Mus musculus: one gene and its partner. The protein of the gene in region 1 purifies or fractionates together with the protein of each later gene. This does not show direct contact. Links are inferred from orthologs where the notes say so. Each region holds a gene or a part of one and is shown in the gene's direction. Other genes may lie near its edges.

Region 1 (5,278 bases):
TCTCAAAGTAGTACCCTTAAAATGAACAAATAATAGCATAGATTTATAGCATTTGAATATTTTATAATATACTTGTATCATGTGATGTCTTAAATGTCTAAGAAATATTCTAATTTGGTTTAGAAGATATATAATCTAGTAATAGTAAGTGATATAAAAATGAGGAATTAAAAAAGAAACCACGCTCATTCCTTCCAGAATGTTCTAACTTCATACTCATTACAACTTAAGTGATACAAGCTAAGATTGTATACATTTACATGTATAGAAACATAATTTTTATAGGTAACAACTCAAGAAAAAGCATTTAAATGAAAATGAGTGGAAGAAATGAGAGTGTAGCAGATGTGGGATTGTGAACGCACATACACATCTCAGCTGGTAACAGCAGCCTAACTCAACTAGTAGAGTTCTGGCTTCTCAAAGAGCTTAGATTCTAGAACAAAATTATGATGTTCAGTGAGGTTCCAACCCATTGGCAGGTATAGCAACAAACAAACAAACAAACAAGGCTTTAAATTTTCACCTGTGATGCTGAACACTGTTAGCTGCTGTGTTTTGTTCTGTTTGCATAACATTCAAATGAAAAACAGCATTGTCAAACTTTAAATGTCAGAAGTATTCATGCACCATTCAGATACCCATTTTTAGTTGAAAAGTGAAGTAAAATAAAAAGCTAACACAAACTCTGAACCTCAACTTCAGAGAGAAAAAAAGAGTGCCTGCAGCCAGGTACAGTCAGGTGCAGTCAGATGCAGCCAGTGCTGCCAGGGGTAACCAGTACAGCTAGGTGTAACAGATGCAGCCAGTGCTGCCAGGTGTAACCAGGTGCAGTCAGATGCACGAGGTGTAACCAGTGCAGCCAGGTGTAACAGGTGCAATCAGATGCACCAGGTGTAACCAGTGCAGCCAGGTGTAACCAGGTGCAGTCAGATGCACGAGGTGTAACCAGTGCAGCCAGGTGCAGATGAGGAGCTTGCCTGCTCTCCAGCCTGTTTGTGTTTCCTGGCTCCCTGTGTTTGGGTTCCGGACCTCTGATTCACATGCATCAGGAAATCTATTTGATCTAGAACTTATAATTCAAAGTCATTGGCTCTGATTACTACCTGGTGATTGTGTTTCTATGAAATGCTTAGAACTCTGAGTTTTGTAAAAGGTTAATTTGTTTAGTTTAAAAAAATATATGCATGTTTGTTTATATGTTTATATATATTTATTATATCTAAATTTCAAAGGGCAAAGAGGATATTTACATATTTAAAAATATTGCATATTTACATATTTAAAAATCCTTGGAGAACTATCTAATGCTATCAAAAGTAATTAATTTTAGTGTGATTAAAATGAAACACAAACTGTCAGATACATCAGTTCATAGTGTTTTTGGAAATAGCTTTAACCACATGTGATGCACATTTCCTGCAGCTACACTGCTTCGGTTGCGACATTTGTTCTATATGCAAAGACAAAGAATTATACTAGCAAAATGGAAGGAGAGAGCCAGACACAAGAGTAAAACAAGAGAAGACGACTTGGTATGATATTAGATGCTATTTGTTTTAAAGAAGGAAAAAAATCATTTCAATATTTGTTCATGTATATTGATAAAGACACTGTAAGTGTCACAGTTCTTGGGGGAAAGGTATCTTGGCATTTGGGAGCCAAGGAATACCACAGAGTCACACACCGCACCCCAAACCCTCACACAGGAGATTTACTGGCAGGGAAGAACCTAGGTGGTGGTTGCCTCTGCTCAGGTGAGAAGTAGCAGAAGTCAGGGTTTATATAGGATTTCTTGGGTTGAGTGGGTGTTGCTTTCCAGGGCGAGGATTGGTGGGATTTCAGGTCTTTTTACTCTGTAGGGAGGGCCTGGGTCCGATCATTAGTGCAGTTAGTGTGTTCTGTGGGTGGAACCTGGCCTTGGAGGTCCTCAGAGGAGGGGCCTGCCTCATGTGTCTCCAGGGGATTACATTCATCCCCATTTGTGTTTATTATTGATAAACAGTTGGGGTTGCGAAAGGGGCAATGTTATCATTGCCCTATTTCCTGCTGAGTGTGAGTGTAGAAGGCCTTTGGGCAAAGTTGATGTTGTAGGCTGGGTATTATCAGGAGTCAACCACCCCAATAACTAGGGGTGGGTAATCCTGTAAAAGCAACTGATTAAAAAGTCTGGTTAAAAAGCATTTGGACCTGTCTGTTGCTGAAGAAATCTATACAAAAAGGAAGTTTATAAAGTGGGGCACAAGTAGGAGTAAGAAAAGGAGGAGGGGCTGCATTAAGAAAGGTGACACCGAATTCTATATTGGATTGTCAAAGAGCCACTGGCCAGGAGAACAGAGCTGATTCTTATGATTTTGGAGTTCTGTCTGGCGTTGTCTGCTCATGTCTTTTACTATACCCGACTGGTTGACATAGAAGAAACGTTCCTCCCAGAGGAAAAGCCAAAGATCACCTCTCTCTCAGCTGTTAGTAAATCTAATCCTTACTGATTTTGTAGTAATATGGTGGCCAGTGAGTCTATTTGGCTCTAGAAGGTAAGGATGGTTTGAGCCACCCGTTGGAGCCAAAGATGTAATCAGCCCTACCACAGCTGTGGTGGTGCTATCAGTTAGACCCTGGAACAGAAGAGAGATAGGATCTCAACCTCTTGTTCATCATACCATGCCACCCTGAACCCCGTGAAAAAGGAACATCAGGGTGCAAGTCCCAGACTACCTATCAGGTAGGCAGTGGAAAGTCTGAGTGACACAGAGGATTGAAGAATTGTAAATGTTTGGACAGAAGGGCAGGGTGGCAGTGCTCAGGGTCAAAGTATTATTACAGTCTAAAGGATCCAGTGTGCCCACAAAAGTATGTCCCCGAGGAGTTAAAACAGTTTGCAATACCAAAGACAGAGGTGTGAGAGAGATGAGGAGTAGAAATAGGAAGAGGATGGGTGTTGTGGACAACCATTTCAACATTGCCAGCTAGATATGCCTGTTTTGGGTACCACTGCCACTGTTACTGCCATACTTGTAATCACTTTGTGTACTAAGCTAGTGTTGTGATCATTGCCCTTTGCTTGATGATTGATGTTCTAACAGTGGAATGGTTGATTGCACACAACCAGCATTCTTTCTTTACTTATTCTGATTGTCTCTGAGAAAAAAACAGGGTTCTTTTAATCCTGATGTTTGACATGCTCTGGTTGCTACATAGTATGTATTAGCAATATATTATTATCGTTTATATATTATAGTTAACTGAATGTTTAGGAATTAATTCCCCCCTAGCTATACAATTTATTGGCGGACAGTCATTCTGCAGTCGGTGAGTGAGAGTAACAGGTATGTGCTGGGAACAGAGGCAAATGTTAGCTATGTGTGCTGGCTTCCCAGTATGCGCCCATCCTATAAATACCTCTACTAAAATTGTGTATGTGGGTTTGTGAGAAGTGTGTGTAAAATACTCACTAACCCATAGAAGCGTTTTCTTGTTACATAGTCTTCAGGAACTGTGTCAGTTAAAATGGGACTTGCCATAATGGTTAGTCAGTCAGGACTCTGGCGTGTGTTCTTTGACTTCTCCTCTCTCAGTTGTCTCCCCACTAGCACATTCATTCAGTGACTCCAAATACTAGTGATTCCACTGCTGGGATCTCTTCTTTGTGGCCCACGGCTCTCCTCTCTAGAAGAGGAGATGACACCAGGTCTTTCAGGGGCGGCCTGTGCCAATACTTATGACAATTAGTAGAAGTGGTCTATAAAAGTTAAGATGGTCCAGGGAGTTTTATGTGTTCATATGGAAAATTATCATTTAGATAATAATGGCAGTCAACAGTGTATAGCAGGTACTAATATCAAGTATTGTGCTAAGTACCATTACCTTTGACCCTTAGGACAATTCCATAAATTATTTATATTTATTATAAATTATTTTCATTGCAGATTTCAAAACATGAACTTCAGTTGAAAAAATGGAAGTTCAAGTTAGGGAAGCCGATTAGCCTTGAGGGGAGCCTCTCTGACATCGCTGTTGAGAACAGGCGCATAGCATTTGACATTTCAGTGCTACCGGAGCAAGCAATACTCCAGGTTTGTAGGAGTTTGTTGAATAGTTTTCTTACAATTTGAGTATAGTTTGGAGTTAGGGTAAGTATGTTTGCTTATAATTCCTTATTTTAAAAATTATCGGCTGGGCCGAAGTCTGGCTGATGAAGGGCGGAAGTAAGAGTACCAACTCCGCAATCATGGCTCAAGAGGAGGATGATGTTAGAGATTACAATTTGACGGAGGAACAGAAGGCGACCAAGGACAAGTATCCTCCAGTCAATCGAAAGTATGGATATTTGGATCATACGGCTGATGTCCAGTTACACGCATGGGGAGACACTCTGGAGGAAGCATTTGAACAGTGTGCCATGGCCATGTTTGGTTACATGACAGATACTGGGACTGTGGAGCCCCTCCGCACCGTGGAAGTAGAAACCCAAGGGGATGACCTGCAGTTTCTGCTGTTTCACTTTTTGGACGAGTGGCTTTACAAGTTCAGCGCTGATGAGTACTTCATACCCCGGGAAGTGAAAGTACTTAATATTGATCAGAAAAATTTCAAGTTACGATTCATTGGGTGGGGAGAAGAGTTCTCACTGTCCAAGCACCCTCAGGGAACAGAAGTCAAGGCAATAACGTACTCAGCAATGCAAGTCTATAATGAAGAGAAGCCAGAAGTGTTTGTGATCATCGACATTTAAAATACCAAAGAGGGAAAAGACTCGTGAAGAACTGATTTGTTTTTTTCCTTTTGAGAGGATGTGATGACTCATTTTCTATAGTATCTGTGCTAAATGGAAATACGGAACTGTACATTTAAAGTGTGACTTTCAGAAATGGAAAACCAGTGAGTAGCAGTGGTCTCTAGATAATGAATTCCTCAGTTTTTGAGGAGCAGTCTTGTACTTGGTCATTTGAGCAGGAGCAGCAGGTGCCTTACATTGTTTGTTTGTTTGTTTGTTTGTTTTTTGAGTTATGCCATTTTTCTTTCTTTTTTTTTTCAATTTTTTATTTGGTATTTTCTTCATTTACATTTCAAATGCTATCCCGAAAGTTCCCTCTACCCTCCCCACTGCCCTGCTCCCCTACCTACCCACTCCTACTTCTTGGCCCTGGAGTTCCCCTGTACTGGGGCATATAAAGTTTGCAATACCAAGGGGCCTCTCTTTCCAATGATGGCCGACTAGGCCATCTTCTTATACATATGCAGCTAGAGACACGAGCTCTGTGGGTACTGGTTAGTTCAT
Region 2 (5,722 bases), on another chromosome or scaffold:
CTTGTATGGAAAACAGAAAGCTTCAAAGAATGATAGAGCTGTGGTTGGATCCTAAGGAGGCTAAGCCCATGAGAACTAATGTATGATGCTTAGTAACATGAAATTATCTGAAAACTTGAGTGCTAAGGCCCTAGAATGAGTGAGTTAAAGAGAGGATGTGAGAGTCTTAAAAGATAGATCACATCCAAGGGTGGGAAGAACATGTCCTAGTAACCGTGATAAGTTGCAAGAACATAAGAACAAAGCAAAATTATACTCAGACAGGTCAAAGAACTTGGCTAGGGTCACAGAATTAGCGCATAACCCAGGAAGAAATTTATTTGTCCTTTCTAGCCTGCTGGGCTGCCACCCCAAAGGGGACTGATGAAACCAGAGATGTTCACTGTAAGAGTATAAGCATATGTTGGCAGAGGGGTGAATTATGAAAAACTAAGGGATACTTATGGACTACCTGATAGACTAAGGTTCACTGAACACTGAACATGTAGTCTTTCCTTTTCCAGGTACTGGTGAACACAAATATGATTCCTGTCCTCCTGTGCCTACCTTCTAGTGGAGACAACAAAGAAAAAAGGTTAACTTTACAGTGGCTTAGGAGGTGACAAGTGCTACTATAAAAATATGGAGCAATATGAGGGGCCCAGGTACAAAGTAAAGAGAGTGATTACCTTTACAGAGAAGGTGACAATAGCTGAAGACCAATACTAGGCTTGCTGGTGCATACCTTTAATCTAAGCACTCAGGAGGCAGTGGCAGATGGATCCCTGTGAAGTTTGAGGGCATCCTGGTTTACATAGTGAGTGCCAGGTCAGCCAGAATTACAGAGTGAGACCCTATCTCAAAACAAAAAAATTATATCTACCTGTGAAATTTTCTCAAAGAATTAATCAAAATACTAAAAAATTTTAAAAAGTTCATGGGACTGGGTAAGGTCAGTGAAGGAATGTATCAGCCGCAAAAATAGTGCCCTGGGTGAGAGTGAGCCAGAGGGGGAACAGTGTGGGTGTGATGGGAGAAGGAGGAATTTCATGGCAGGCTTTGCAGATTATGGTGAGAACTCCAGCTCATACTGCTGAGGAAGGGCTGAGGAGGAACAGAGAAAACAGAGGACAATTCAAGGACGGAACTGTGAGAACTCAGAGGCTGGATATGGGGGATTGTTGCTGCAGTGAACAAAGGAGCCAAACAAGACACAAAAGTTTTGAAGCCGGTTCCTGGCTTAAAGGAAAGAGGGCAAAGGGCCTATATTACATTTATGGGGAGCTGTTAAGTCTCAGGCCTTTCTCAGTTTGAGAGACTGATACTGTGCCCTTAAAGTCCCTAAACTGATTTTCTTTGCTTTGAGGGACGTAGAACATAGAATCTGTGTTCGACCCTGGGCCTTCATTACTCCTGGCACAGCTCCAGGTAGCCCCAACCCGTTGTGCACTTTGCCCTTTAATTCTCTTTACATTCCATACTTCCAAAACTCCTGTGGCTTTGCTTTCAAGGGAGTCTCATTCAGGAATGCTCCTTCCCATGTGACTTGAGTGTCTGTACGTCTAACAGGACACATTTTGATGAGTTTTGAAGATCTAAAAGTCCCCAGCCCATTCCCCTGAGAGCTAAAGTGACTCTTGTAGAGCTAATGTAAAGACAAAGCCTCATGTGGATTGGGTTTCTAAGCCCCAGCCCTGTGAACCACTGACACAATACTCAGCATGCCCACTCCAGTTTCGAGGTCTCAGCTTCTCCTGGCACAGTCACCCCTCCAAACCATTTGGTCATATCTTGCTGGCCCCTCAGATGTTCTGTGTCCCCCAACTCGGTTTTAAAATGGGTCCCACCCATTCCCTCCTACTTCCTCCAGGCTCTGTCACCCACACGCAGCAGCCTCTAAGGGCAAGCCCGCAACTCTTACCCGGTTTAGACACTCAAATGATCGACCTCAGCTTGCAGACAACCGGCAACCAGAGAAGTCTGGCTGAACACCCGCCACCCTTTTCTACTGATAGATATGAGCCCACAATCAGCAGAGCTTCCTTCATAATGTTGATTGGTCTAGCTTGGCTCTGGCGCAACCAATTGACGCTCACAGCATGATTTTGCCCAATGAGGCTAGTCTTTGGCTGCCGACGCACCGCCCTCTTGCTCTTGGGCGAGTTTTGCCAGGTTAGCCCCACCTCTTCGTTCCCAAACCAATGGGAAGCGGGCTGTGCGCGCGTGGAGCAGTGGGAACGCCGCTGAGGCTGCGAGTACGCCGTTGCCTTAACAACCGGTGGCAGAGTCCGTTGGGTGATGGTAAGTGCTAGGGATTCGGTGGACCCCACGCGGCGTCCCCGGTCCTTTCCTAGGCCTCGGTGCAGCCTTGCTACCTTTCTTGCACGGTTCTTGGCGTTGACGCACTAGTTCTTCCTTGGAGCTGTGTGCCGGAAGGGTAGAAGAGAAAGTACAGCCGCCAGCAGCTTGCCTTGCCTGCTCTTTCCCACTACCCCCTCCTCGCCCAAGTCACCTTCAGCCACCCCCGCACAAACTGCCTCTGGACCTCCGCTGGCTTTCAGGAAACAGCAGGGTGACCATTCTATTGCTTCCCTTAGACTTCCGCCTCAGTCAAACTCAGGCCTCCTGGCCGCGGCCACCCAGTTAAAGTTTATGCATTGGTGCTAAGAGGTTTACTGTGTTCTGATGGTCGCAAACGCTTTCAGGAGAGGCTGTGAGAAAGCACGCAGGTGCAAATGGTTTGATTTTTATCACTTTGTACCGGCATAATTTTTATCTTAGTAAGTTTACATTTAGCCAAATTTAGGCATAAGTAATTGGAGGAGCAGAGTTCTTGGGAACTGGCACCACAAGTAGATGTTTTAAGTACATTTCTAAAACCGAGAGTACGGAAATCATATACAGTTGATCATCCATAACTGTAATTGGTTTCTCAAAGAGCTTTTGATGATGCTTTTTTAGATTTAAAAATGACTGAAATTGAATCTCCTAAAGTGACACATGGATTAATGGTACAATTGCATGAACTTTCTGTAGTATAAACTTTAAGACAGTGGAGGTCAGAGTTATGTCTTCTCATGAAGGCTATGTTAACACTAGAAATTCATATTCATATATTCACTTGCTCTATGTTGATCTATACAAGAACAAGGAGGAAAATGGTAATATACTATTTTAAAACAAAAACTCTCTTCTATTTGGTGGCTCCCCAATGAAATATAGTTGAATTTAGTCATATGAGACATCACATTAAGACAAATTTACAGTTATATTAGAAAATAACCTCATTATTGCCAATTTCTTTTTTTATAACTTAGTAAAAACTGACATATATAAATTGAAATAGTTTTAAGTTGAGAGAAAGTTTTTTCTTCACAGAGGTTTGTGCTATTTGTCATTTAGAGTTGGGGTTAATTTTATTTTAGTTTTTACACTTATTATTCCTTGGTGGAGAAGCACATTTTAGCCTGAGTGTGGCGGTCAGAGAATAATTTGGAAGAGTTAGTTCTCTCCTTTTACCATGTAAGCATCGTTTCCCTTTTCATCTTTGACAACGACAACTGAAGCCTGGGTCCTGGTTCCCACTTAGGTTATCAAGCTTGGCAGCAAGAATTCTCACTGGCCCATGGAAGTTTACGTAATGACATAAGTACATTACAAACGATGGCACACCTCATTGAAAAAGATATGTATGTTTAGAGCTGTCATAAATAAAACAAGGACTATGGCTTGTAATAATGTGCTTCTGTGTTTATATATTGTGTGAAGGCCTCTAATTTTAAGAAGACAACCATGGCATCCAGTGCCCAGAGAAAAAGGATGAGTCCTAAGCCTGAACTTACTGAAGACCAGAAACAGGAAATCCGGGAAGCTTTTGATCTCTTTGATGCTGATGGAACTGGAACTATAGACATCAAAGAACTGAAGGTAAGCTGCACACATCCTTTTCTTTGTTACCTTGTGTTTCCTTATTGCTTGTCTTTTAGCTGTTACCGTTCTTCTCCTTTCTGCCTGCAAAAAGTAACAGACAAGGGTACCCTGTGTATATTTTACCTGAAACAATGGTCTAATTGATAAAGTTGATTGCAAATATCAATTAAATCAGCCTTAAGTGTTCCCTGATCATTTCCATCATTTTATCAGGTGTTTGGTTAATATCTTCAATAGTCATTTTTGTTTTTACGTTATGTATCTATTTAGATGATTCTGTTTTCATTGTAGGTGGCAATGAGGGCCCTGGGCTTTGAGCCCAAGAAAGAAGAAATTAAGAAAATGATAAGTGAAATTGATAAAGAAGGAACAGGAAAAATGAACTTCAGTGACTTTTTGACAGTGATGACTCAGAAAATGGTAAGTTAGTTAAGATAATTAGCATGCTTTCTACCCATAATGGTAGAAACATGAGAATCTAGACATACAAAGAGCTTTATCCAACAAAATCTATCCCTTCCACATGGGAGAAGATAGTATTTTTAATTGAGAGGATCTCTACGTTTCATTTGGCTTTCTTTAAGGTATTAGCATTATCTTGTTTCATGTGGCCACATGATAATCACAAGCAGTAAAAACTTTTAACACCGAGATTTTCAATGCTAGTCATTTTTGGTTTTAATTTATTATTATTAAAAATTAAATTATCATACAATAAATCAGGTGTCAATCTGACATTTTCAGACAAATGGTTCACACTTAAGATTGGTTCCTAGATTATTCTTCCACCTGAACCTCCTGGCAAGAACCTTCCTGAAATAGCTGAGGTTTGAACGCTTTCAGAAATTCTGCTCTTCTGCATTACAAGGACTCAGGGCCCTGGTAATTCTTTGAAGGCCATTGTGAAAAATACCTCTCTCCTCCTCTGCCTTTATCAGTCTATCTGTTTTAGCAATGTATTTTCCCTGACTACAACCCTACTCACTGCTTCTATATTTTAAAAATGAATCTAGTGTCTGCTTGTTTTGTACAGTACTTTATATACAATTATATTTCCTATGTAACCCCTGAGTTTATATTCACTTTACTAAGTATGTTTTCTTTTTTTTTTTTTTTTTTACAATGTACCATACTTGTTTGCCTGTGACCAAGGACATATATCATGACAGCTATCACCAGGACCTTATGATAATGTGGGCCATGGCCGGGGAATTAATCTAAGAAGATAGTTTTCCTACAACTCCCTTCTTGGGATTAGAACTGGGCAGCGTTCTATACAAGACAAAGCACAGGAGGGACAGTATAGATACCTGGCCAGATCCAGTGTCAGGTGTTAGAAAGATGAGCCCCAGCTCACTCCAGAGGCTCTTGTCTTCTACCTGTGAAAACAGTATATGACTGTTCGGCTATAATAGGAACCTGTCCTTGCCACATGATACTTTGCCCCACCCCCCCAACAAGTCCTCATGTCTATTTTTTAGGACTTCTTGACTTTTTCAAAAGCAGGCATCTTTTTTCTACTAAGTTCTGATTTGATTATGGAATAGATGATGGCAGAGGAAGTAGAAAGGGAATATATGCCACCATGAATCAGAGGACCTGGCTTCCTAACATTGTTCAAGTCAGGTTTTTGGAGACAAAAAGATGACCGGGGAGTAGCAAGAGTGGCTGGATATAAGTAACTATCACTTTTGTGTTCTACTCCAGTCTGAGAAAGACACTAAAGAAGAAATCCTGAAAGCTTTCAAGTTGTTCGATGATGATGAGACTGGGAAAATATCATTCAAGAATCTTAAGCGCGTGGCCAAGGAGC

Evidence for each region. Proteins that work in one complex are often made in the same cells at the same time.
Region 2: the proteins of Fbxl13 (region 1) and Cetn2 purify together in Homo sapiens (affinity purification with mass spectrometry; 3 studies listed by BioGRID and IntAct, counting the BioPlex papers as one, with this or other methods). This does not show direct contact. The link is inferred for Mus musculus from reciprocal best matches to the Homo sapiens genes FBXL13 and CETN2.

Annotation. Positions count from the first base shown.
Region 1 is NC_000071.6:21,613,445-21,618,722, reverse strand, and holds part of Fbxl13 (dynein regulatory complex subunit 6), read left to right. Parts: intron 1-1,425; coding exon 1,426-1,535; intron 1,536-3,926; coding exon 3,927-4,073; intron 4,074-4,163; exon of another isoform or gene 4,164-5,278. UniProt on the Homo sapiens protein: Substrate-recognition component of the SCF (SKP1-CUL1-F-box protein)-type E3 ubiquitin ligase complex.
Region 2 is NC_000086.7:72,914,872-72,920,593, reverse strand, and holds the start of Cetn2 (centrin-2), read left to right. Parts: upstream 1-2,249; 5' UTR 2,250-2,277; coding exon 2,278-2,280; intron 2,281-3,747; coding exon 3,748-3,906; intron 3,907-4,200; coding exon 4,201-4,329; intron 4,330-5,616; coding exon 5,617-5,722. UniProt on the Homo sapiens protein: Plays a fundamental role in microtubule organizing center structure and function. Required for centriole duplication and correct spindle formation. Has a role in regulating cytokinesis and genome stability via cooperation with CALM1 and CCP110.